7 linked regions of the Ovis aries genome follow. The protein of the gene in region 1 interacts with the protein of each later gene in a biochemical or structural test. Links are inferred from orthologs where the notes say so. Each region holds a gene or a part of one and is shown on either strand. Other genes may lie near its edges.

Evidence for each region.
Region 2: the proteins of LRP1 (region 1) and APOE form a complex in vitro, tested with the Homo sapiens proteins (2 studies listed by IntAct, with this or other methods). The link is inferred for Ovis aries from reciprocal best matches to the Homo sapiens genes LRP1 and APOE.
Region 3: the proteins of LRP1 (region 1) and THBS1 form a complex in vitro, tested with the Homo sapiens proteins (3 studies listed by BioGRID). The link is inferred for Ovis aries from reciprocal best matches to the Homo sapiens genes LRP1 and THBS1.
Region 4: the proteins of LRP1 (region 1) and APBB1 form a complex in vitro, tested with the Homo sapiens proteins (2 studies listed by BioGRID and IntAct, with this or other methods). The link is inferred for Ovis aries from reciprocal best matches to the Homo sapiens genes LRP1 and APBB1.
Region 5: the proteins of LRP1 (region 1) and PLAT form a complex in vitro, tested with the Homo sapiens proteins (2 studies listed by BioGRID). The link is inferred for Ovis aries from reciprocal best matches to the Homo sapiens genes LRP1 and PLAT.
Region 6: the proteins of LRP1 (region 1) and DAB1 form a complex in vitro, tested with the Homo sapiens proteins (2 studies listed by BioGRID). The link is inferred for Ovis aries from reciprocal best matches to the Homo sapiens genes LRP1 and DAB1.
Region 7: the proteins of LRP1 (region 1) and LPL form a complex in vitro, tested with the Homo sapiens proteins (3 studies listed by BioGRID). The link is inferred for Ovis aries from reciprocal best matches to the Homo sapiens genes LRP1 and LPL.

What each region holds. Positions count from the first base shown.
Region 1 is NC_056056.1:162,409,824-162,413,323, forward strand, and holds the end of LRP1 (prolow-density lipoprotein receptor-related protein 1), read right to left. Parts: intron 3,163-3,500; coding exon 2,986-3,162; intron 2,847-2,985; coding exon 2,706-2,846; intron 2,596-2,705; coding exon 2,422-2,595; intron 2,200-2,421; coding exon 2,038-2,199; intron 1,651-2,037; coding exon 1,476-1,650; intron 1,291-1,475; coding exon 1,189-1,290; intron 1,048-1,188; coding exon 983-1,047; intron 903-982; coding exon 812-902; intron 699-811; coding exon 554-698; intron 416-553; coding exon 275-415; 3' UTR 115-274; downstream 1-114. UniProt on the Homo sapiens protein: Endocytic receptor involved in endocytosis and in phagocytosis of apoptotic cells. Required for early embryonic development. Involved in cellular lipid homeostasis.
Region 2 is NC_056067.1:52,423,412-52,427,681, reverse strand, and holds the start of APOE (apolipoprotein E), read right to left. Parts: upstream 2,801-4,270; 5' UTR 2,641-2,800; intron 746-2,640; exon of another isoform or gene 690-745; intron 504-689; exon of another isoform or gene 262-503; intron 1-261. UniProt on the Homo sapiens protein: APOE is an apolipoprotein, a protein associating with lipid particles, that mainly functions in lipoprotein-mediated lipid transport between organs via the plasma and interstitial fluids.
Region 3 is NC_056060.1:33,437,131-33,440,630, reverse strand, and holds part of THBS1 (thrombospondin-1), read right to left. Parts: coding exon 3,361-3,500; intron 3,250-3,360; coding exon 3,127-3,249; intron 2,106-3,126; coding exon 2,012-2,105; intron 603-2,011; coding exon 426-602; intron 116-425; coding exon 1-115. UniProt on the Homo sapiens protein: Adhesive glycoprotein that mediates cell-to-cell and cell-to-matrix interactions.
Region 4 is NC_056068.1:46,391,686-46,394,867, reverse strand, and holds the end of APBB1 (amyloid beta precursor protein binding family B member 1), read right to left. Parts: intron 1,595-3,182; coding exon 1,479-1,594; intron 1,335-1,478; coding exon 1,158-1,334; intron 1,076-1,157; coding exon 908-1,075; 3' UTR 501-907; downstream 1-500. UniProt on the Homo sapiens protein: Transcription coregulator that can have both coactivator and corepressor functions. Adapter protein that forms a transcriptionally active complex with the gamma-secretase-derived amyloid precursor protein (APP) intracellular domain.
Region 5 is NC_056079.1:36,401,518-36,405,454, forward strand, and holds the start of PLAT (tissue-type plasminogen activator), read right to left. Parts: upstream 2,801-3,937; 5' UTR 2,722-2,800; intron 1-2,721. UniProt on the Homo sapiens protein: Converts the abundant, but inactive, zymogen plasminogen to plasmin by hydrolyzing a single Arg-Val bond in plasminogen.
Region 6 is NC_056054.1:32,967,013-32,971,020, forward strand, and holds the start of DAB1 (disabled homolog 1), read right to left. Parts: upstream 2,801-4,008; 5' UTR 2,529-2,800; intron 1-2,528. UniProt on the Homo sapiens protein: Signaling adapter of the reelin-mediated signaling pathway, which regulates the migration and differentiation of postmitotic neurons during brain development.
Region 7 is NC_056055.1:45,935,610-45,939,109, forward strand, and holds part of LPL (lipoprotein lipase precursor), read right to left. Parts: intron 802-3,500; coding exon 632-801; intron 1-631. UniProt on the Homo sapiens protein: Key enzyme in triglyceride metabolism.

The sequences.
Region 1 (3,500 bases):
ATTTGCAGGAGCCCCTTTCCTGTTCCCCCCCTCCCGGAAGGCAGCATGGGGGGGGGGTTTGCTGAGGAGCAGGCAGGAAGGAGAACGGAAAGAGATAATACTGTGCTCGCTTGCTCGCTTGCTCACTCACATATAAAAAGTAATTCCTTCATTTTTTACATTTATACATCCCAGCAGGGCTGGGGAGGGGTTGGCTGGGCAAGAGGGGGGCTCCTTGAAGGACTTCTCTGGCCGGGGGCAGAGGCTCTCTGGGGAAGTCCGATGGTGTAGGACCCTACGCCAAGGGGTCCCCTATCTCATCCTCAGGGCCCCGGCCCAGGAGTTCTCGCTTCTCGTCCGTGCTGGCCAGGGAGTGGCGGCTGCCATGACCGCCCATGTACAGTGTGGCATACACGGGGTTGGTGAAGTTGGTGGGCTGCAAGGCAACAGAGGGTTCAGATTGGGCTCAGGTACCTTCTACCTACCTCCATTCATTCCATCATCCAGCCCAACACACTTGGTTGCCCCACCCACAGCCCTCTGTTCCTGTCCTGGAAGCCCCCTCCCAGCCCACCTTGTCAGGGTCCAAGGCGAAGTCCGCATCCAGTAGGCCCCCTACATCATCAGGCTCCCCGCCTTCATACATCTTATAGGTGGGATTCCCGATCTCCACGTTCATGGCCCCGTTGGTCATCCGCTGGTGCTGGAAGCCCTTAGCCCTGGGTGGGTGGGTGGGGGGGAAGGTGGGAGCATGAGGGCAGGGATTCTAGGAGGGGGTGGGACTAGGGCAGTAACATCATGGCCCTAATTTTCCAGACTCCCCACAACTCACCCTCGGACTCGCCGCTTGTACCAGAATACCACTCCGGCTACCAGAAGCATCAGCAGCAGCAACAGCAGAGGAATTAGGATGGAGGCCATATCTAGAGGCAAAGAGGAGGGAAGCTGAGTCCAAAAGGCCTCAGAGGCACAAAGCCCTCCATCCCACGTCCCTTCCACCTACGTCCAGGCTGCTGCTGGCCGACCACTTGTTCCTCACATCGGGGTCCCGCCATGTGGGGTGGGCACCTGCAGACGGGAGGGGCAGAGCTGAGTGGGCATGCCATCCACCAGGGAAACTGGGAGGAACCGTAGGCTCCTGCTGGTCTGGCTCAAACTTGGGGGAGGGAAGGCTGATCTAGGCCTTGGTGAGGCACAGGCCCAACTCACTGGCACTCAGGCATCATTTTGCTGTTCATGGTGCAGGAACCGCCATTGCTGCAGTGGCCAACGCAGGTCAGACAGCTGGGGGCCACCCGGCCATCGGAACAGCTGCGGGGAGGAGGGCAGCGGCTGGGCGGGGCTGGTGGAGGGTGTCCAAGAGGCTGGGAAGGGGCGGGGCGGGGCTGGGGGGGTGTCCGAGAGGCTGGGAAGGGGAGGGCTGGGGTTGGGAGGGTGGGTTAGGCTGGTGGGGAGAGGGTGGAGGGTGGGACAGACTGGGAGTGGGCCCCACTCACTTGCAGGTGACATCCCCGCTCTGCTTGTTGACCACACAGGCCCCGTCGAGACAGCGGCTACACTTGTTCACCTCACACCTGGGCCCCTCAAAGTAGGCGGTGCAGCGGCACTGGCGGGAGCCATCGGCGGCCATCTGGCACGTGCCGAAGTTCTCACAGTAGCCAGAGCACTGTCCTGTGGTTCAGGGGATGAGAGAGGAGGTGTCTCAAGCCCCACTGTCATGAGGGTCCTCTAGAGGTGGGGGGGGCCTCTGGCCTTTGGGGTGACTTCCACCTCCTCCTGAGCCCCCCACTGTCTCCATGTCACAGGCTCCAGGGTTACAAAGATATCTGGGAGCATCCCAACAGGGCACTGCTTTTGCTTGAATAATCCCAATGCCAGAGGGTTCACTACCTCTGGGAAGAGGGGGTGTGCTGACCTCTCCCTGGGGAGAAGCCCTGGTACCTCGAGCCTGGCTGAGCTGCGAATGGCCTCCTTCCCTAGAACTAGCCCCTGTGACCCACACACCCCCCACCCCCACCTCCATCATCCCTGGCTGGGGCCCAGGGGTGGCTCACTCACGGTACTGGCAGCGGTCCCCCAGGAAGCCGGGCAGGCATCGGCACTGGGGCTGGTTGCCCTGGTTGACCGTGCAGGTGCTGTTGTTGGCACAGTAGCCTGCACACACCTGCTGGGTGCATTTGGGGCCCGTGAAGCCTGTGGGGCACCGGCACGTGGGCATGCCTGGCAGGAGACGACGTGTGAGCCGGACTGTGGCCCACTGACCGCCTGGCCCTACTGCAGGGGAACAGGGCTGGGAGGCAGGCAGCAGAGGACAGCAATGCTGGGGTTGGGGGCAGCAGGTGGGAGGGCAGCAGAGGCGAAGTAAGGCAGGGCAGAGGTGGCTTGGGGGCAGCAGGGTCCAGGGGCCAGGAGGAGTCCTGGCAGGAGAACCAAAGGCCATACCCGAGGGAGAGGCAGCGCAGGTGCCCCCGTTGCGACAGTGCTCCCAGCACTGGTCCAGCTCACACTTGTCGCCTGTGTAGCGGGGCTGGCATCGACACTTAGGCTGCCTCCGTGCGTTGAGGAAGCAGCTGCCGCCGTTGAAACATTGTAGGTTGCAGGTTCCAGGCCGAGGAGCTGCAGGAAGGGTTGTCAAGGGCAGAGCCGGCGTAGGGGGTGGATTCAGGGGCTGTAGGGAGGAGGGTTCCAGGGCAGGGATGAGGGGCCAGGGAGGGGCGTGAGCATACCGTCTGGCGGGGGCGTCGGTGAGGGCACAGCCACACAGGTGCCATTGTCCAGTCGCTTCCCATTGGGACAGGTGCAGACGGGCCCACTGGGACTCAGCAGGCAGAGCCACTCGCACTTTTTGCGGTCACAGGGGTTGGTCACTGCAGAGGTGGGCAGCGTGGGAGAAGGCTGAGTCCTGTGACCCAAACCTCCCCTGCCCACCAAAACCTGAGGCTGCAGCCTGGAGATAGCACCCCTGGGCCTTCCCTGCCCCAGCCCGGGCTCTCCCTCTCTGCCCACCTTCAGGCTGCTTATGCTGGTGGTACAGGACCACATCGGAGGCGTGGCTCAGGCCCCCAGTCAGGTTGATCAAGGGGCTGTGTCCAAACTTATGGATCTTGAAGACACGATTATTGATGTAGGTGACGCCATAGATGTAATCCTCGAAGACATCAATGCTGAAGGGGTGACTCAGGCCTGGGGAGAAGTCAGAGGGGACTTAGACCTTAGTGACACTCTCCTGTCACTGGGTCCCAAGGCTCTCAGGGACCTCAAGCTGAACACGTCCTGTTCACACCACCCCTCAACCTATTCCTCCCACTGGCAACAGGTCCCATCAGCCTCTGAATGTGGGGTCAGGAGCGACTTCTGCTCCCTCTCCCCATGTGTGCTAAGTTCCCATTATCACCCATGTCGCCTCCACGCAGCTCAATACCTATTGGTAAAATGAATGAATGTAAAGGGGGCCCAGAGGGTCAGGGTGGACTCAGGCCTGCAGGACTGGTCCTGGGGGTGACTGGTTGGGAGGGGCCCAA
Region 2 (4,270 bases), on another chromosome or scaffold:
CCCTCTGTATCTTCCCATTCTCAGCTCCAACTTCACATCTAAACGCTGTCATCCGCATATTCGCTAATTTAATCCTCATTTAGAAGTCCTTCAACCCACGCTTTAGCTACCGTGCCGCCGCCCCTGAGCCTCCCTTACCGAAAATCTTAGGACAATTGTGGGCATCCAGTAGGTGCTCAGTAAACAGCAGTAACAGTTAGTGGGTTTTTGCTATCTCTCGTCTGGTTTTTCCTGCAGGTCCAGCTGCTCCCCTGAACCCACCTTCCAGTCCAAACGGGATACGCCTGCTCCCCACCCCTCTAGGTCCAGTCCCCTGTCTCTGGTCTCCTCCTCTGCTCAAGCTTTTGTCCTGGTCCGGGCGGCGTCGGACCGTCACCTCGTCCACCTCTCCCGCAGCCCGTCCCCCACAGAAGCCCTGAGCTGGTCTCCGTGGCCCCCAGCTCTGCTTCTCACCGCGCTCTTCGCCTCCGGAAACCGCGTCCTTCGCCTCCGGGATTGAGCAGGGACTCACGGATCCCAGATTCGTCCAATTATAGGGCTCCCCCCTGGCCCGCCCACTTCTCCTGAGCTGGGGCAAGCTGGGCCAGCCCCCTCAGGTCACGAGGTGGGCTGTCCTCCCCCTTCACACACAGCAAGGAGGGGAGGGGGTGGGGCCTGGAGGCCTGGCAGCCCCCACTCCCAGCCCCCTTGAAAAGATGACTTCTCACCCAGTAACTCAGGCGGCTTCCTCCATCCTGGTGGGTAGGTGAGCTGGTGAGGGCTGGGACAGTGGGCATGGAAGGGGCTGGAACAGGCCACTGCCCACAGCACCCATCCCCTGCCCTTCTCTTTTCCAGCGGATGGATGAATAGAATTTGGGGAAAGGACTGGGGGCCTGAAATCCCTGGTTAGAGGAAGGAGGGGGTTGGGACTCTGGGTAGGGAGGGGGAAGGGAGCTGGCTGGCTGGATAGAAATGGGATAGGAGTTCTGGGGACAGTACAAGGTATCTGCTACAAGCCCAGGCTTTGAGAGTGCAATCTGGACTTTACCATGAGCTCCCTCTTGCCCTCTTCCCTTGGGCACAGGAGAGTGCCTCTCTTGAGCCCCCTTCCCCGGTTGAGACCTGAAAATCCAGCATTTGTCCCAACTGTGTATTGTTCCTTCAGTGGGGCCTGAAGCATGCTTCAGGACTGTGCCTGCTTAGGACTGTGGATTCCAGAACCAAACTGCTCAGGCCTGAATCCAGGCTCTGCCAGTTGTCAGCTGTGTGACCCTGAGCCAACGACCCAGCCTCTCTGAACATCCAGTTTCTTGGTCCACAAAACCAGGAAAAGAGTTGCACTTAACACCGTCATTCGGTGAAGCAACAGGCTACTGTGTGTACTGAGAACAAGTAGGGTTAGCTGGCAAACAGTGGCCCCATGTTGGACTTCAGTTCTGTGCTGGGCCACAGTGAACACTCCTGTCCCTCCCTCCCTTGCAGCCCTGTTCATGAGCCCCAGCTGTTTCACAGACGGGCATCCTGAATTGAGAGTGTTGTAGCCACACTCTCTGCTCTCTGGGAAGTAAACTCACTCAGAAGGACAACGCAAATAGTGGAGTGCAGTTTATTACACCAGTGGGCCCAAGGCAGAGTCTTCTCTTAGCCAAGGACCCGGTCAGTTTTTGTGACAACCTTATATACCCTAAGTGTACATGCTCAAACCCTCCTCCCCGAATTCCTCAAAACTAGCCTGGATAATGTGAAGGGGCTAAATCATGATTCATATATTAGTCCAGACACCTAATTAGGCTAACATATATCAATAGGTTTTGTGCAGATAACAATTTGTTTTCCTCTGGGGTAGATTAGTATATTCTTTTCGGCGACAGAAAGTCCAGGAACAAGTTCTGGAGTCCCTTTATCCAGGGGTCTGTTTTTCAGTTGGAATGTTGCTTTTATAGATTCCAGGCACAAAGCTCAAAGTCCACTGGGAGAACACCCCGGCATGTAGTCCAAAGTTTTCAAGAAGTCTAAAATGGGGTCCTGCAGCCAAGATGGAGTCCGCTTTGCCCACTTTCCTCTTTTATTCCTCTCTCTTGATGCTCCTAACTCTCAGTGGGAGCATCACTCATAGGAATATATTGTACCCTAGGCCTCCTAACACCGATCTGGGAAAGTGAGGTTCGTCTCTAGGTTACAAAGTTAACAACATGTTGTAAAGTGCAAGGGCCGGATAACAGAACTATTAAAATGACAGTGAGCGCAGTTTCACACCAGTCACCCTTTACCCAAGATAGGACCGAGGTCCAGAAGGGAATATTTTCATCTGACATTGCTTTTGCTTGGTCCCTCATGTCACCCAAAGCAGTCGTTACAGTGCCAGATAAATCAGGAATGTATATACAACGGTCAGCCTTAAGTATGGCACAGGTTCCATACACAACATTCAACCTTAAGTATGGCACAGGTTCCTCCCTGTGAGGCGGTGAGGATGTCTAATGCCATTCTATCCTTGATTTTTGTTGTCTTACTTGATGCAAAAAAACCTCATAGTCATATCACCCCTCTGTAGAGGTGATACGCGCCGTGGGAGCCCGTCCATCCCAGATAGAGGCATGGCGCTGGACTGGCCCAACAGCCTTGTGCCCCTCTTTAGAACAAATCCCAGATACCTCACCTCCTCCTGGCAGATCCGAGCCTTCTTTTTCGAGACCGGGTAACCAGCCTCTATCAGCAGTCCCAGCGAGGCCTTGGTTCCTTCCCAGCAATCATCCTTGTTCTCAGCGGCCAGGAGCAGATTGTCCACGTATTGCAGCAGCCAACAACCAAACTTTTCTGGCTGAAATGCGCCTAAGTCCGAAGCCAGGGCTTCTTCAAAAATGGTTGGAGAATTTTTAAACCCTCAGGGGAGGGGGGTCCAGGTTAGTTGTTGTTTGGCGCCCCCTGTTGGGTCTTCCCATTCGAAAGCAAAAATTGGTGGTGATACCTGGGCTAGGTGTGTACAGAAAAAGGCATCTTTTAAGTCCAGACAAGGATAGAACTTTTGCACTTCGAGGGAGGAAGCTGAGTAAGGTATATAGGTTTGGGACTGTGGGTTGCAGGGTCATGGAAGCTTGGCTGACCAGCCTTAAATCTTGTATTGGCCTATAGTCCTGTCCCCCTTCCTTTTTAACTGGCAGGATTGGTGTATTTCATTCTGATTGGCATTCAATCAGGATGCCGGCCAGTTTCAGTCTATATAAATGTGGCAGTATGCCGAGACGAGCCTCCAGGGGCAATGGATACTGGCGTTTTCTAACCGGGGTGGCACTGGGCTTAAGTTCTATTATTATTGGAGCATGGTGTTTGGCGAGCCCAGGGGGGTTTCCTTCTGCTCAGACCTCGGGCAGTTGTTGAGCCAGTGTTTCCTCCCGGCCGTTCATCCCCTCTAGTCTTTTCTCAGTATATTCATGTAACCTCCATTCATCTTGTGGGGTAACTGAGAGGGAGAGTAAGTAAGTAGCTGGGCGGGTCAATGTGCAAAGTGGGGTGTTCGTGGGGGGAAAAGGTCACTTGTGATCCCAGTTGAGAGAGTAGATCTCTTCCTGGTAGAGGTACTGGGCATTCAGGGATATATAAGAACTCATGAGTCACTTGGTGGCCCCCGCCATCTGGCACTTTTAGGGCTTACAGAATTGTTTAATCATTTCCTTTCCAGGTATCCCAGTTATGGCAGTGGCCTTTTTCGAGAGAGGTGCCGTGGGTTCAGTTGCTACTGACAATCCTGCTCCGGTATCCACCATGAAGTCAGTAAGTTGGTCCCCTGCTTTTAATGTTATCATGGGCTCTTGTGGACCTGTGTCTCTGAGCCCCGGCATCCCTATTCAGTCTCTCATCCGTCAAGGCTTGCCACTGTACTGGTTGATTCCCGGCTTTTAGTGGTTTTAGGACATTGGTTTTTCCAGCGGCCAAACCCTCGGCACCAGGCACGCTGATTGGGCTGTAACGTGGACCTAGGCTTTCGTGGAGGTTTCCTGAGGGAGTGGTCTCGTCTCCAGGAGGGAGGGGCTTTCGTGGGCAGCCTGGCAGGCCTTCCCAAGGCCACGGCTAGCATTGCAAATCTCTGGTCTGCTCAGTTTTTCAGTTTCTTTCTTGGCTTCCACATCTCTGTTTCTGAATATTTTGTTTGCAATTTCAACTAGTTGGGAGCTGGACATTGATAATACTCCATCCAGCTTCTGGAGCTTTCTTTTAATATCAGGATAAGCCTGTGACACAAATGTTGAGTTTATAATGATGTGAGAGCCCCTGGCTTCGAGGCCGATCAG
Region 3 (3,500 bases), on another chromosome or scaffold:
TTCATCTGGGGGCTGGGGGAGTTGCAGAGCCGGATCCTTGTGATCACACCATCTCCACATGTTACGGAACAAGATGACCACGGGGACCAGTGGCTCCAGCCTCCATCCTGTTTAACTAAAGGACAAAGCTGATGGTTATATGGTGCTTCCCACAAGCCAAGCTCTACATTAACACTTTAAATGCATCCTCTAAACCACATCTTCAAACTCGCCAAACTAAACATCTTTACACTATTTTTACCCCCAATTTACAGATAAGAGCCTCAGAGAGGAGAAGCTGTGCTCAAGGGTGCACAGATAAGGCAGAGAACTGGGATTAGATCAGAGTCTAGAACCTGTGCCCTCAACCTCTGTGCTCTGAAGTTGCTATTGGTGACAACAAGGACAAGTCAGGTCTCCACATCCCCAAGTGGCCCAACACTTACATCTCTTGTCACACTCCTGGATGTGGCAGGTCCGCGTCTGCACAGAGGAGCCCTCGCATCTGTTGTTGAGGCTGTCGCAGGAGCGGCCACGCTGCTGGATTCCATTGCCACAGGTCACAGAGCAAGAGGTCCACTCAGACCACGGGGACCAGCCATCGTCTGCAGAGTCGCTGGCTGCTGAGCAAATGGGTGCATTTAGTGTGTTATCATGAAAACAAGCTATTCTTTGGGCTGCTCTGCTCTGGACTTTCTTCCCATGCCAGAGAGTGAAAAGCAATATATTTGTTAGGCCAATGGCCAAGCGGTCATTCTGTGCACAGCTTTGGGGTAATTGCATGCTTTGCCTGGGTCGGTATAGCTGAACCTTTCCCCCACATATGTTTCTAGTCATCCTCGCCCCCTTCTTCCAAGTCTGCATTTTAAATGAGTTTCCCTTTTTTGACTTAAGATGTCTTGGTAGGCATTTCCAGCCCCAGGCTTCCAAGAATACTTGGGTTTTAGGCAACTTATAGGAATCACTTCTGACTTTCAGGAGAGTCAGAGACCCACATGTTTGGCAGATGAATCTGAAGGCAGCGGAGCCGCTGTTGGCTCTGGCCCTGGATCAGTCATGAGGTCAGTCAGCGGGTTGCTCCTCTCACCCTAGCATTTGGGGCCTTTTCTGCACATATTTTCATAAGAGGGAAGTGTGTTTGTTTACCATCTGCCCAGGCGCCATGACTACAATCACGTCCTGTATCTGACAGGAGATAGAGAACTTTGTTTTCTCTTGCCATCAGTTCGAAGTTTTCCTAGTAATCCCTGACTCAAAATTCAGCACTCTGCTAGTCCCTAGCTAGCCTTGTTCCCTTTAACCCACATCTGAAGTGAATGCTGAACAGAAAGCAATGTACAAATGATTATGACAGTTCCAATGTCACTGACATCTCTGAAGGGAACTGGCTCTTCTGAGCTATGATCCGTGTGTGTAGGAAACAGGGAGTGTGGGGGGCGTGGATGTGAAGGGGGAGTGCTACTTTCCTGTTTCATGCATCTTAGTTGTGATAAATCATCTTTATGACTTGTACTTACTACAGTGTCTCAGCAAAGTGATTAATTATACTGGCAGCAAAACCCAGGGACTGGGTACCATGAAACAATACAATTTCTTACAGAGCCCTGAGACTCAAAGTACTATTTTTTCTTAGGTCTCCTACGCCTGTAGATAAAATGGGTAGAACTTTCAGGCCCAGTTAAGTCCATCAATTTCTCCAGTGAGCAGATTTTTACTGACTCTAGGCCACAAGGTCAGATTCTAAATCCAGTTAACTTAAAGCTACTGCTGCTACCAATTCATCTCATCTTTTCTCAAAGCACAGAATCATACTCAATAAACTATACTAAGGTTATTGTCTACACCACAATTAGGGGGGTAATTTAGTCATAATGGCATTTTTTTGGTTGTATACAGCAGACAAGCCATCAGCTAACCAGATGCTGTAGCAAGAAACTGAATGAAAACATGTGACAGAGATGGGACTGGTATTCCAGCATTATGTACAATCAATCCAGTCACTGAAGCATGGCCAACAATCTTAGGAACTTACGCCAGCACCGTGGGCAGCATTCTCCATCAGGAACTGTGGCGTTGGAGCAGGGCATGATGGGACAGGACACTTTTTTGCAGATGGTAACTGAGTTCTGCAGGGCAACAGTGAAGGAGAAATGGGTACTAAGCATATTGCAAGCAGAAGCTTACATACTGAACCATTTCAATTACAAGCTGAAATGTCGTCTGGGCTATAAATGCTCTAGTGGAATGATTTTAATAGAAGCTCTGCCTGTCTTTTGGCAGCCACCAGTACTGTAGAGACAGTTCAAGGGCTGCTTACTTGTCACTCCATCCCTCTAGAATTCGTCTCAATTGCCACTTAGTCACTTCTTCATGCACAGAACAACATGAATTTATGCAGTTGGAACCACCTAATATCATGAGTCAGATCTGTTACTCTGTGTCTAAAATCAAATTCCTGAAACTCAGCCAGGACTTTAAAAATTTTAAATTACATCTTTATGGGGAAAAGAAGATCAATGAGCATCTTACTTTCTCATATATAAATATGGCTTTATATAATATTGGACAAAAATGGGAGTTTAGTAAAGGTGGCTCCCAAATCCGGCAATCCATGATTTGTATTTAAGCTTGACTTTGCTCAATGAGCCAGCAACACCCCCCCAAAATCCTCTGCCCCTGGCGTTGGGTAGGGGGTGAGCCAGAAGGACACATACACTACAGGCAGTACCATCTGAGGTAAGTGGATAGTTCTAATGATGTTGGGCCAAGTGATTTGAATAGCAATCAGTACTGTATTAAAGAATCTCCATGTCATAGCCAAATATGAATCAGGTTGTGGGGGGGGGGTTCCAACTTGATTTTACTTACCTGATATTCAACACTTAGCTCTTGAACTAAAGCAGGTAAGTTACCGAGATATTTAAATAGATATACTCTTTTAGATATTATTCTTAGCCTGGGGTATAATTAAGACTTTGAAAAACTCTGAGCATTTAAATGATTTTATAGATGTCATAGCTGCATCTTAAGAAAAAGACACCACTTGGGTATCCAGCCATGGAACATGAAAAGAGCCTCCGCAGCCATCTGGCTCTTTCTTCAGAGAGTGTGCCATCCATTTGTGTTTCAGTCCGTCGAGAGCCTTACCTGGCAGCGACACTCAGTGCAGCTGTCCACCGTCCACTCGTCACCAGTCCTGTACTGGACTCCGTTGTGGTAGCAGAGTGGGGGCCTCCTCAGCTCATTGGCCAGCTCTTTGTTCTCTTCGGTCTAAAAGGGGGAGAAAGGTTATTAGCATCGAGCCTCACTTTCAGTCCCTCAGCATCATCACCATCACATGCAGGGGCTCCTGCTAACAGGCGGTGGGTGGAGACTACTGACCACTTTGCGGATACTGTCCTGCAGCGTGGTCACAATGGTGCGTAGACCCCTGAGCTCTAGGACCATGCTGGACAGCTCGTCACATGAGATGCCACAAATGGCTTGCAGGTCCTTTGTCTTGTGGCCGATGTAGTCGGTGC
Region 4 (3,182 bases), on another chromosome or scaffold:
ACTGCTGTGCTGACACCCCTGGGGCCCAGAAGTGGGAAAGAGCTTGTCGTAGGAAAGGCGTGAAAACTCCAGAGGGCCACTGTGAGAAGAACGTCTGGTGGAAGGGCCCATCTCTGGTGGTCCATGCACACCTCGAAAACAAGACCTCCTTTCCTGGAGCTGGTTTAGCAAAATATGGGAGGGGGGTTGGCTGCTCTGAGGCTGCTGTCCTTTTGTGGCCATGGAGCAGAGGTCTAAGTTGGCACTGACCTGGGCAGACCAGACAGAAGTTGTCACCCCAGGCCTGTACTGGTCAGCCAGGAACCCTGTACGGCTGCTGCTGCCTGGTTGCCAGGCTGTTCAAATAAATACAAGGGACTTGGACTCGAGACCCTGCTGCAACTGTCCCAATTTCTTTTTTTGAGGCAGGGAGGGCAAGGGGGGCCCAGGAACAAAATCCTAACGGAAGGAGGAGGGTTCTTGGAGTGATGGTGTGTTGCGGGCACAGGAAAGCACACAGCTGAGCAGGGCAGACTTTATTAGTGATATCAGTACAGCAGAGGTACCCACAGAGCAGAGGAGAGAGGACCCATGCCTGGACTGGCCCCCCGCTTCTGCCCCAGCAGGATCCTATGAAGATGGAGCCTGGCCTCGACCAGTTCCTCCTGCTTCACCTGAAACGTGGGGATGGAGAGCTGGGGCTGGCCTTGCTTCCTCTTTCTGCTCCTCTTCTCTCAATCCAATATTGTCACTTGCAGAATTAGATCTCCCTTCCCAGCCCCCAGGTGAGGAACCCCAGCTACTGGGGAGGGCAACTCTGGTGGGGGGGGACCTGAAGTCTAATAATAGCCTGCAGGGCCCCTCCCCACCCCGCACCCTTGAGTTCCTTGGGGCCCAACGCAAGCAGGTGGAGGGAGCACGGACGGCTTCAGGGGGTGTGGGCCCCCAGCCGTTTAGGCTTGAGGGAGCCCCACAGCGACTGAACGCCCCGGCGGACGGTCCACCCCACACGCCGGGCAACAGACTCGGCTGGGGGCGCTGGGAGGCAGGAGGTGGAGGCCTGGGAGCGGGCATCCAGACACTTCTGGTAGCGGAGCTGCAAAGGCAGGAGGTGCAGTCATGCCGCAGCCTGCCCCAAGTGGGCTGGGCGCCACCGCTCCACCACCCTCCCCACTCACCATGCACGCAGCCTGCACGGCCTCCGAGAGGCTGGCAGCATTGGGCTCGCACCAGAACATGTGGCAGCAGAAGGAGGCTGGGCCGGCAGCCATGATGAATGCAAACGTGTGGACGTCTCTGCCCACGGCCAGGAAGGACAGGAAGCGCACCCGGCACTCCCCCAGCACTGCCTCCGTCTGCGGGGAGGGGCACCAGTTGGAAAGGGATGGCCGGACCCTCTTCCACTGGGTGCATCCATCTTTCCGGAGGCCCCTCCCCTCATTCCCAGTCTTGCCCTCCACAGCAGGGCCCTGCCATACCTTCTCCACCCAGGTCTTTACCTGCTGGTGCAAGATGGTGAGAGTGGCAGGGGCCACGCTGACGTGACTTGGGGTCCACTGCTCACGGCTACTGGAGGACAGGACAGATTCCAGGGCCCCATTTATCACATCTACCCCTGAAAGACAAGGACATGAACATGGCACTGCTGGTGGTGGACAGAGGACACCCCAGCTCTACGCTGGACTGTCCAGCTCTGCCCAGTCAAGCCCGGGGTCTCTGCCCCATCCCTACTTCACCTGCCCACAGCCCTGGACCATGCTGCATAGATACCCTTCTTTGGTGCACTCCTCCTTGGTTTCGGTGACCTGGCACTTTTCTAGTCTCTTCCATCTTGAATCCTAAGCTTGCTTTGCTTCACTGACTCTGTCTCTTCCTCCAGCCTTCTAAGCAGACTGACCCCCAAAGTTCTATCCTCCCCATACCTTGCTCTCCACATTCACACACGGCAGTGCTTCATACAACTCCTAAATCAGCCCCTATAGGCCAGTTCTCGCCAGTCCTTAAGACTCCAGGATGCAAGCTTTGCTTTTGGCTTTTTTTTTTTTTTTAATTTCCATTTGAGCAATGTTGTCTCATGTGTCACACCACGTTATGACATTATAGTGCACTGTCATACACAATCTCACAACAGATCCCTTTATCACCATTTTATAGATAAGGAAACTGAAGCTTATATTGAGAAATCAGGTAATTGACCTTAGGTCACAACCGAGAAATGAGGATCTGAAGACAGGCAGTCTGATTCCAGAGCCTGAGTTCTCAGCCAGGCCTTTCCCCTGCCCCTTGTCTGTAGTCCTAGTCTCAGAACCAAAGGGGCTGTCAAAATCTTACTGCACTCAGTAATTTCTAATATTTATGCAAAAGCCAAGGAATCCAAGGTTCCTGGCTTTTAGATCAATCAACTTGCCCTTGTAACAATGTTTCCGTTAACTCCTAATGTTAACTGCCGTTAAACACTTCCACCCATGACATTTCCACCCATGCATCCGTGCATGCCACCGCCACTGGGACTCAGCAGAGAACCAGGGCAGCAGCATGGGGCATAGGTTCTGCTCCCTGCACTGCTCACGAGCTGGCTGTGTCATCTGTGTGTGGTTACAGTGACGACGTTAGAGTGACTGACGTCCATGCGGAAGCACGCACTGGTCCGCCCCCAGGCCCGCTTGCCCCTGTCAGTGCCTCTGGGCTCCCACTGGGAACCGAACTTGTGGACCCTTTGAGGGCAGAAAACACATCTTCCCCCAAAGTCCTCCCTCACCTTGGCCTTGCTCATCTTACCTCTGATTGGATCAAAGCCAAACTTCTCTCCTAAGCATGAAGTCCTCCAAAAACTGGCCTCATCTGACCTGTCAAGCTTCGTATTTTACTGCTCCCTGAGCTTCAAAGGATTTATGTAGCATTATCAACGTCTAATCTTGGCAAATGCCCAGCAAGGCAGATGGGAAACACAGAGTAAAAGAAGAGGGTGCCCTCCAGGGACAGACTGTAACTGAGGGAAAGCCTCCCTCCAGAGGGCTCCTCCTCTCTTGACTGTCTGCGAAACTCCCAGTTCTCACGCATCAGGGTTCACCTAGGCCCTCCTGTCTGGGAAGCCTTCCCTGCCACAGGCAGACAGGGTGCTGCTGAGACAACTCTTGGCACATCTTGTAACTGCTAGGAACTTCTTCACACTAGGCTATGGCCATCTCATGGACAGATATCAA
Region 5 (3,937 bases), on another chromosome or scaffold:
CTAAAGACCCCCCAGTTGTACCAGTTCCCCAGGAAGAACTGCTGCTATCATTTTCTGGAGAATCATGATCAAAACCAGAACTTGCCTGGCTTGTACCTTCAAAACTGTTTATAAAATGCCTGCTGTGGGCCCAGCACCCAGTTCCTTTTCCCTTTGTACTAAGTTTCAACTTTCAGGCGATCAAGAGGTCTGTTCATCTATCCCTCTATGCCCTTCTATAGAAGTCTTTTTCGCAGGTGGGAAAGTGGAATGTAAAATGCACAAGTATGACTGAGAAAGTGTGCTCTCCTTAATATGTAAGTAGACGCTCAGGCGAATAGCAGGAGACCGTGTGCCTGGACTTGAGGGCTGGACTAGGGCAGATGGTTCAGAAGATTCTTCCTAGCTCGAGCTTTCTGTGAGTCTGGATCCTCCTCACCTTTTAATCTGGCTCCACTGGAGACCCAGCCCTTGGTTTTGTGAGCTGGTTGGCTAGGATGAGTTTTACTGTCTGAAACTAGGGACACAGTTTTTCTCTGTGCACAGAGAACAGCCAAAGAAGGAATGAACAGAGTATTCCGGTCACTCACCGTCCACTCTGACCATCCTATCAGAACAAGGCAGAAAGTCACTCATAGGGAATACAGATTTTATTCTGAGACTGCACATGCCTGGGAGCCTTTGAAACTGAACACTTCAACTCAAGACACAAATGTTCCCTCCTCCCTCCCCCAGATATTCAGTATTCAGAGAAGCATATAGATTTTGAGTTTTGACTGGAACTAAGCCTACTATTGGGCTTCCCAGGTGGCGCTAGCAGTAAAGAACCTACCTGCCAACACAGGAGACATAAGAGATGCTGGTTCGATCCCTGGGTGGGGAAGATTCCCTGGAGGAGGGCATGGCAATCCATGCCAGTATTCTTGCCTGGAGACTCCCATCGACAGAGGAGCCTGGCAGGCTACAGTCAGTGGGGTTCCAAAGAGCCAGACACGACTGAAGTGATTTAGCACACACAGCAAGCCTGCTTGCTATTCATTCCATGAGCCATGCTGTCCCCTCGGCCTCTGATCCAAGACAGCCTACCCTCCCTCTGGAAGCTTTGGAAGTTTAAAGCCAACTGTGCTCCTCTCAAACGACGGTCTAGCCCAAGGCCCCTCACGCTGCTGTAAAACCCCAGGCGGGACCAGAAGACCTGGAGGTGAAGTAGAGACAGGCCCCACCTGGGCAGGGACTTCCCAGATGGCCTGTGGTCCTGGCCACTCACTCACAAAAAGCCTTTCGTGGTGATGACAGCTTCACGTCACACCGCCAGGGATCTGGCTGGGTTGCTCTTTGCATTCGTTTGAAATCTACTGATCACCAGCTCTGCTCACCAACACGCTAGGTCCCCAGGTCCCCAGGTCCTGCCCCCACAAGCGAAAACTCATCATGGGACCATTTCTGTTCCTCCAGAAGCAGGAACTGTCCCAGGCCAGTGCAGAAGCCACAGAGAGCAGCCTCACTGGGAGAATCTGATCTAATGGTTTATAAAATAAACCGAGCATCCGCAAAGAGCCTGGACCATTCGGGCGGAGAGCAAGCTCTCGCTTGCTCATGCCAAGAGCCGGCGCTTGCAGGCTGGTGTCTCTGAGAATGTTTTAGGTGCGATCAGTTGATGGGTAGGATGGAGCTCTTCCTATTTCGGTTATTTGCGCCGTCTCTGCTGGCGCCAGGTCTGGCTTTGCTCTCACAGGAAGCACTTAGCCGGCAGCTCCTCTGACTGTCATCTATTGATTCTGGAGCAGTCAGAGCCCAGATCCTGGGACGTCTTCTGCCCCCAGGCAAGACTTGCTAGGAAGCCCTTCTGAGGAAACTCCACTTAGCGGCTGTATTTCAGAATTTCTTCATGGGCTTGCACACACATGCACACGCACACACACATAATGTTTTCTCTGTCATGCACCAGCTGCGGGAGGCCACCACTGCCGTCCACATCAGTCACCGCCACCACACGGCTTTGGGCTTGAGCGTGTCATCAGTTACCTTAGAGTGCCTTCCTTCCCTCCCTCCCTCCCTCTCTGGGAGGTAAAGAAAATCAACATAATAACAGTGAAAGCCTAGAATGCCCAATACAGTTCCTGTAGAGAGCTTGGGGAAGAGAAGACTCTGTAATTGGAAGAGTCCTCAAAGAGCCCTCCCCTCCCATCCTGGGCAAAAAGCCAGAGGACAAAACCCGGCCTCGGAAGGAGACCGGAGGCTTCGCTCTGACGGTTTCCCCCTTCCTCTCACCCAGCACTTCCCACCCAGTGAATCCTCCGTGGGCAAGTCGCTCTCTGCCCAGCCCTGCCTCAGTTTCCCTGTGGGCTCATGCCCCCGGGACCCTCTGGCCTCTGACCCCATCAGCCTGTCTCCCTTCTCTTGCCCGTGAGTGATGAGCCGGGCCCACCGTCTACTCAGAGCGGGTATGGATCACCCTTTTCACTTTCCCCTGTGCGAGCAGAGATTTCTGCTTCAGGAGACACAACCCTAGTGCCCTCTCTCTTGCCCTGACCGCTGCTGTCCCCTCGAACGCTTCAGCCCATCCCTGTAGGATGCACATTCAAAAAGAAACCTCCCTCCAGACATGGATTCTAGCGAACCCCACTTTTGGCCTGAGTGACGGAGTCAGCCCCCTCGGGCCGACATTCCTTCAGTGGCTCATAAAGACTTTTAAGAGAGAGAAGAGGAGCCAGGGACAGAGAGGCACAGAGTCCAACCTACCGTGCGCCCAAGCCTTCTCCCTCCTCCAGAGGCGTTGTCTTCGGCGCCAGGCTCTGCAGGACCGTGGCTGGCTCTCCCTGCAGGGCACCGGCCTCCTTTAAATTTCAAGGCAGGGGGTGGGGTCGCTGGCCCTGGGTGGGCGGGCTTTGCTGCGGCAGGAGGATGCCCAGTGGACACTGGGCCCCGCAGGAGCCAAGCTGGGGCGGGCCTCTTTTCATAAAGGGGGGGAGGAATTTCCCCCATGGAAGCAGCCCAGCCCATCCTGGCTCGGGGCCAGGCCGATTATTCATGGTCCTGATGTCATCAACGAATCACAGGAATTTGGGAGTTGGATGTTGGAGGGGAACCCGAAGAACCATCTTCCTTTCAAACCCTAGTCTCAACCTCCTTAAAGGGACCCTGAGGATCCGTTAGCTCTAAGCCCCAGTGGGGGAGAGAGGCTTTTACAATTCTAAACAAAGACACACGGAGTGGATAGGGTTCTTCCGGAATCTCCAGCAGTCACTCTGCCCCTCTGGACACAGGAGATTGAAACAGCGGGCCTGGCAGGGCCAGCCGCCCTGCGGGCTTGATCACCTGGGGCTGGGGTGAGGACAGGTTAGCAGAGGTAGGCAGGCCCCACCTGCACACCTGCAGTGCCCCAGCCTGGAGTGAGCCACTCCTAGCTCCATCACCCCGGGGGGAAATCATTTCACTTCTTCATAAAGTGAATCCTTGATTACTAAGGTCTGTTCAGCTCCAGAGATGTCTGGTTGGGCTGGGGGATACAGGTGGGGTTGCTGAGTTGATGCTCTGACTCCACGGGGCTGCCTGTACTAGAAACTCCATCCCTCCCCGCCCACCCCGACACTGGGAAGTGTTTTAGTGTTCTGGAGTTTGCTCTTAATCGTAAATGCTCCGTAGGATTTGGTAACCCCCTGCAGAGGACTCATAAGTCAGGGCCCAGGGCTGAGCCATGTAGGGAAAGGCAGACGCTTGAATCAGCTGTACCGGGCATGAGGGATGTGACCTCAGTCAAGTTTTTCAGTGATGCTGAGCTTTCACGTCTGAGGTCACATATGGATTAGAGAGAGACAAAGCACGCGAGATCCCTGGCACGTCACAGGGCACAGTCGGTGGCATCTGTTATGTCGATGTCTAGTGGAGACCAGGCACCATGAGGGTGAGAGAGGAGGACGAGGAAGGGTGCTGGAGAGGATGCTGGGGGCTGGCAGAG
Region 6 (4,008 bases), on another chromosome or scaffold:
TCAGCGCTGGAATTCCTCCTGTTTCCCTCTGCCTGTGTCTCCCTCCTCTTCCTCCCCTTCCCTTCCTTGTCCTCCCCCTCCTCCTCCTCTCTCCCTCCTCCTTTCTTGTTCTCCATCTCGCCTCTCTCTTTCCCACTGTCTGTATTTGAAGTCTTAAGCTGTCTCTGTCTCTCTTTCTCTTACTACTGCCCCCCCCCCCCCCCCCCCCCGCCTTTTCCTCTTTCCCTCTTTTCTCTCTCCCTTCCTTCCCCCCCACCTCACCCACCCTATATCCCTACCCACTATGTGAAAAAGCTTTGATTACAGAAAAGGAGCAAGGCCTTTGCCAGCACAAGACTCAGACCAACAAATAGGGTCACAGTAAGGTAACTACCTGAGTCTAGCTTCAAGAAAAGAAAAGAAAAAAAAAAAAATCTTGTAAAAGAGAGAGGACTGGATGGTGGCCCTTGATTCCAATGAAGGCAGGTGGGGCATGTGGTTCCCAGTTGTCCCGGACACCAGTACCACTAGGCAGTCTTCCAGCTGGACCATTTCTATTTGCCAATAAGCCTCAGCCAGTCCCCCTCCATTCTACTGGGAGTGAGGCGGCATAGCCACTGCCTCACTGCACTGCTTAGCTACTCCTCTGGATCAGCTTGGAAAGGAAGAAAAGCCATACAATTCAGAACCAGTTACAGTCAGCACTGCAGGGGATCTCAGGGACCCCCTGTTTCACCCCAGTCCGGTCATTGGTGAAGGAAGCAGGTCCCCAGCTTGCTAAATGCCAGGGGGACCCATTATCAGAAAACCCAGACCTACGACCTGTTGCAAAAATGCCTCCACCCTGGGAACACCTCTAGGTTTTTGCTTTCTGGACAGGAATCTACTTTCCAGGGTCCAGAGATATAAACAGAAGAAGATTAAAATAGAAACAGAACGGGGTTAAAATGCACTCAGTACTCATCAGAAATCCACCGCATGTTCCCGGGAAGAAGGATTCCAGCAGTAAAGTCTGTGGGAGATGCGGCTGCAGTGGTGGACGGCTCTAGGCTCTGAGGACCTTTTTAATATGGCTGTATTGTAATACCGCAGTGCCAAACCCCGCCAGTCCTTTACCCAAAAGCAAAAGGAAGCCTCGCTTGGCAGCAAGAACTTCCCAGCTCTGGTAACACATTGTCTCTGTTTTATCCCGGTTTAATAACCGCTTTACTGAACGCAAGCCGGGGAAATCTGTATCCTCGGAAGGCACAGCATAGAAACCTCCCTATGCAACAACGCGATTCCTCGGACATGAAACTAAAATGCATTCATCGGAACTCAGCCTCCCAAAGCAACAGCAAAGCGACTGTGAGGCGATTTACAGGCGAGAGCCCCTCAGCGTTGAGGGGGGATGGGGAAGGCAAGCAGCGGACACACCTTTCCTGAGGTGTTTGAAACGTACTGCCTGCAAAGTCCTTCTAGACCGAGCTGCCAAGGGTTAATTTCCTCTGCAAAAATTGATTATCTCTCTCTCTTTCTCTCTCACACACACACCCCTACAGTAGCACCCGCACAACCTCCGCCACTACCACACATTTGAATCTTTTTAATCTGAAATTTCCAGAAATTCCCTGATCGGCCCTATCTTTTTAGAACAGCCCCTCCACCTGGGCTGGATTCCCACCTCATCAACAGTGAAAGCCCAGAGAGCTGGGCATAATTATTTTTCTACAAGGTTATGCCTAATTGGCCACTAACCTAATTGATTAATCATCTCATTTTTCAAGACAGCATCAAAGAGCCAAGCTGAGTGAGAACAGAGAAAACATGCGTCTGGGTGGTACGTGGGGTAAAATTACAGATAGTGGGGGAAGACACCCCGCCCCAGCCAGCTTGCCTGGTTTTTGGACACGGAGGTGGCCAGAAAAGAACAGAAAACCTAGAACGTGCTGGGAAACTCGAAAAAGCTCAAAAGGACTGAGCTGGGAGCCTCGACGCCATCCAGCCAGCCTGAGTGCAGCCGCCTCCGAAGAAGATGAAGTTGTTTCTCCCAGGTCAGAAAGGGTTAAATGGCTGAGGGCAAACCCAGGCTCGGCTGGCATGGAGGAGCAAAAGCCGCCAGTCTCAGTGTCGGGGAGTCCGCCTGGAGCACCGTCCCCCGCCCCCCGGGGTTCGCCCTCTGGCTGCGGCCGCAACTTGCGCTGCGCAGGGCCCTTGCCCGCGCCTTTGCGCGCCACCCAAAACTTTGCGCACACTGCAGCCAACGCTGCCTGCCTCGCAGCCAGCCGCGCGCCACCGAGTGCCCTGGACCGCTGCCTGTGGGGCTTCGGCTTTGGACTTTTCCCCCAGCCGCTTCCGATTCCCACCCAGGGGGCTCCCTCGCGGTTGCGGAGCTCCACACCCGCCCTGCGCTGGGCTGGCAGGCGGTGCGGGCGCTGCGTTCCAGATGACCACCTCGCCGGGCCGGGCAGCACCCCGGGGACAGACTGGTCCCCTTTGCCGCCCCTGCCCCTGCCCGCCCACCCCGAGCCTCCCACGCCTGAGCGAGAGAGCCCAACACCTTCTCCTACCTTCCCCGCCGGCCGCCGAGGACCACACTCTCCGCTCAGCCCTCTCGACTCATCCTCCGGTTGCAGCAGGAGAGGGCGAGGGGGCTCTGCTTTTGTTCCCTGGGGGTGGCAGGTCCGTTTGGGGCCAGGGCGCGCAGGAGATGCCGCGGAGCTGGGTATCCCTGACGGGGGATGCTCACTCCCAGCAGCTCTGCCGGCAGCAGTAGCGGCAGCAGTAGAGATAGTGCCGGCTCTCTGCAGGCCACATCTTTCATACCTTATACATCACTACCGCATTCCCCCGAATAGGGGAGCCCCACAGCATTTCGCCACCTAGCGCAGAATGCAGGCGACCGCATCAGTAGCGAGGCCGACCCGGACAGGACGTGAGCACCGCTGGAGGGAAGAAGGACCTCAGTACCCACTCATAAGTTCCCTCCCAGCTCTGAACACAGCGAGGCCAAAACTTGCAGCCACTCCGCAGCCTTCACCTTTTGGGACTCTCTATTCCGCAGAGAAATCTGGACTTCAGGCCAAGTAATGACGGTTTATTAGAGGAAGTCCTCCGGGAGCTGTCGCTAGGCTCTTGGCCTGCACATGCTTTTACACAGCCTCATCCTCGGCGGAGTCTTCACACACACGAGGTTTTGCCGCAGCAGACACGTGCTGTCTTGCACGAGCAGAATCCTCAGAGAAGTTGTTGTGCCCTCCCCCAGGATCCAGTGTGTGGGCACAGGAACAGGCAGACAAGGGTTCCAGTTGCAGTTGTTGAGATCTTAAGCAAATTGCCGAAGAAATGATGGAGGCTCCATTTCTTCATCTGCAAAATGGGAACCAGATTATCTGTCTCATAGGATTACTGTAAGAACCAAATGAGATAAACATCGATCTCTACACAGGTTAAGTGATAGCAAATGGTAGGACTTTTCCCTACTCACAGCAAGTGTGCTTTTCCTGGGATAATAATACATCAGTAACAATCCACTCATTCACTAACAATTTATTTGCATGCCAACTGTGCCAGTCTCTTCTATGGAGTAGGGTAAGAGGTTCAAAAAGATAGACAAGTAATCCTTAAGGTCTTGAATTTACTCTCCAGTATGAGGACAGAAACAATAAACAAGTAAATTAGTAAAAACTGACAGATAGTAACAACTGCTATGACACCAATTTTAAAAGATGGTGATGTGTGGTAAGAAAAAGCTGGGGTAGGACATCAGTCTGGGGATTGGAAAAGGACTCTCAGAGACAATGACCATTGACCTGAGACCAGAAAGCATTAAAGGCAGAGGGAATAGCAAGTGCAAAGGCCCTGAGGCAGGAATGAGTTGAATGCATTTGAGGAGCACAGAGAAACCAACTGTGGCTGAAATGGAGCAAGGCTGGTGACTAGTGGTATAAGAGAAGTTAGAGAGAGAGGCTGGTCTTATAGGAGGGTGTCAGTAGGCAATTTTTTTGGAGATAGTAAAACTGTGATTTTTAGAGGATAGGAAACAGTGTG
Region 7 (3,500 bases), on another chromosome or scaffold:
AGGCTAGCACTGTCCAGAGGAAGTACCCATGTGGCTTTTCTTATATACTTTTTAAAAATTTATTTTTAATTGAAAGATAATTACTTTACAGTATTGTGTTGATTTCTGCCAAACATTAACATGCATCAGCCATAGGTATATCTATGCTCCCTCCCTCTGGAACCTCCATCCCACCTCTCTCCCTATCCCACCCCTCTAGGTTGTTATAGAGCCTAGTGTGAGTTCCCTGAGTCATACAGCAAATTCCCATTGCCTATTTTACATATGGTGATGTATGTTTCCATGTTTCTCTCTCCATACATCCCACCCTCTTCTTCCTCTCTCTCCCACGTGCATAAGTCTGTTCTCTATGTCTGTATCTCTGTTGCCCTGCAAATAATTTTATCAGTACCAGCTTTCTAGATTCCATACATAATGCGTATGGAATTATCTTTCTGACTTACTTCACTCTGTATAGTAGGCAACTTGTTGCTTTAGATTTCTCAATCCCCACCTGAGCCAGAACTGTTTTTATTCAGTTTAAAGCAAAGTTATCACTGGGAACCCACATCACTCACTGGGCTCTCAACAAGCCTGTTAGAATGCTTAGTTCATGCCAGTCTACTCCTACCTAAAGAAGAGCCTTCCTTACCGTCCAGCCATGGATCACCACAAAGGTTTTGCTGCTGTGGTTGAAGTGACAGTTAGCCACAGATTCCGTCACTCCAGGAATGAGGTGGCAAGTGTCCTCAGCTGTGTCTTCGGGAGTCCTGAGAGCAAATTTACTTTCAATGTCTCTAAAATCTTTTCCTCTTGTAATCCCTGAAAATGAAAAATTGGATAGGAGGTTAATTAGAGGGTGGTTTGTTTTATTTGCTGGACTAGTGTGCTTTAGATTCACAAGCAAATACCACTAATGCTATTTTTGTTTCTAAAGTAAAAAAAAAAAAAAAAAGTAGATTGCAAGAGAATGGTTGATCCTCCAGTGGTACTCAAAGTTGACAGTGCTCCAGTGCTCAGTTGTATCTGACACTTTGCAGAGGATAAGATAGTTGAATGGCATCACCAACTCAATGCATATGAGTCTGAGCAAACTCCGAGAGAGCGAAGCACAGGGAAGCCTGGTATGCTGTAGCTCTTGGGGTCACAGAGAGTCGGACATAATGACCGACCAACAAAAACAAGCAACAACAAAGCTTGTTTGAGGGAAGACTGTTTCCTTTTCACTACACTATTTTTAAAAATTTTAACAAGAAGAAAAGTTAGAAGCATGGGGACATTTTGTATGGAATTATTCCTCCCCACATGGCAAGATACATCAGTTCAAAATTGCTTTAGTGATTTGTTCAGAAATATCTGTGCTATGTATGAATTATGATTAATTCTTTCCCCTAATATTTCTTTCCTCACTTATGTCTTCACAGACTTCCACACAAAACCGATGCTTAAAATACTACAGCAGAGGCGGTTTTGGAAAGAATCCACTCTTCATTGTTAAGCCCCGACTGAGTCAGGAGAGTAAGAAAACTCTGGCCTATTTTTGAGTCTCTGGACAATACTTCTAAATGTTGATGAATCTTCACAGGGTATTTGTAGGAAGTACATACTATATCATAGTAAACATCTTAAGTAAATTTTAAGTAAATTGTATTGCAATTTACTTTTGATTTTGCCCAAGAAGTTATTTTACTGTTAGAAACTGCCTTAGAAAATTTCAAGCTAGGTTAGTTTCACCCACATCACTCTGTATCAAATGATTTATGTTTCCCTTCTTAACAGTCTTATTTTAATATGTTCGATCAGCAAGCTTTTTAAAGCAGAAATAACCTGAACAATCTGGCAGACAGATCTCGCCCACCACCTGGTTGCTAAACTGATATTTAAGATTATTGCTATGCATAACTCCAGAGGATAAGAGTCACTTTTAGTCTATTTTTTTTCTAGATTTATGCAACATGGTGGCCCTAGAGTTGCTGGTGGTTTTGAAATGACTAAGAATATTCTTTGAAATTATTAAGGCAGGATTTGTATATTTCTATGAAAAAGAAAAGTCTGTTAAATCTTTAACTGTTGTACCAGATTACCATATGGATCATTCAGAGCTCCAATTTCCCACACCATCATTTCTATGGGCTACATAGCTTGTAAAGAAAAATAGAAGAAAATTCATACATTTACAAGAAAATTTGTATTTGGAAACTTCTGTTTTGCTTTTCACGGATTTTTTTTTTAAGTTACAGAAAGCATAATGAAGCCTTTGACAAGAAAACAGTACCCCTCTATATGCTATGTGATGTTTTCAATTCTTTGTCTATTCTGTATATGAAATTATAGATGCTACTGGTGTTTAATCAGTCTTTCCCTCTCCTTGGTGTTCTGACACATACCAAAGGTATTTCCACATACCTGGTTGTTTGTAATCACTTAAGGATGTCTTGGCATTCTAAAGATGAGTGTGGTTTCCCAATTTCTACCAGCCCTCATACAACTGACTTAGGCCAGGAAGAGTTAGGGAGAAGGATAGACCCTGACTGTGGGTCAACAGTATGTTTAGTCATCATAATATATACCCTGGGGATTGCTCCTGGCTGGCAGATTGAACTGATTTGACTCAACTGCTACTAAGGAAATTATTGTTTTTTATACATGGAAATGATAATAGAAGGACCTTTCACTAGATCCCCTTAGAAGTAAAGCCACCTTAGAATAGTGTGTGTTACAGGGGAAGTTGCCTAACATTTAATCCTTTTTAAGGCCTCTGTTCTGAATTTGACTCATCATATTAGTAACATCACACCATGAGATGTGTCCTCATCAAACACTAAGGGAGATTTGGGGGCATCAGGTAAGTTACAAGTCAATGCATTTCTTGACTATGTAATCTTCATCTCTAAATTCCTAAATAAACAACAAAAAATCAAAGTGTGTTGACAAAGGCTAGGAGTTATCTTAACACAGATAATAACTCACAGAGATGAAATTAGGTCAAGTCCAAACCCTTTAAAGGTATACTTATAGAAGGTACATTATAGGAGGAGCATTGAGCATCCCAGAAAAGTGACTCTAAAGGCAGTTCACAGTTATCAGATAAATAAGATTAACATTTATATGAAGACATGAGGTATATGAGCTCAATTATAATGCCATTCTCTTAAAGTTTTTACTTCCTTCCTTTCTCTGTTTGTTTTTCCTCTCTGACACACACAAACATACACTCCTAAATAATGTCATCAGTAATTCACTTCTTCTCTGAGGCTGATGGTCATAATTATCAGCTCAGCTTCTATAGAATGCTGACCCCCCGCTCCCCACCAAAAAAAAAAAAAAAGGTTTGGGGAAAAAAATCAGTGTTGCTATCTGAATGAACTGATTGGAGTTTTCAGACATTCTAATGTAGACAAGCCGCTTGCTTACCTAACAAGCAGATTGACTTTCCAATTTTACAAAAAAAAATGTTTGCAAAAATATCAGCTGTAAACTCTACAGCCTAATTTCTCCTCCTGAAATAAAGCAAGAAAGGA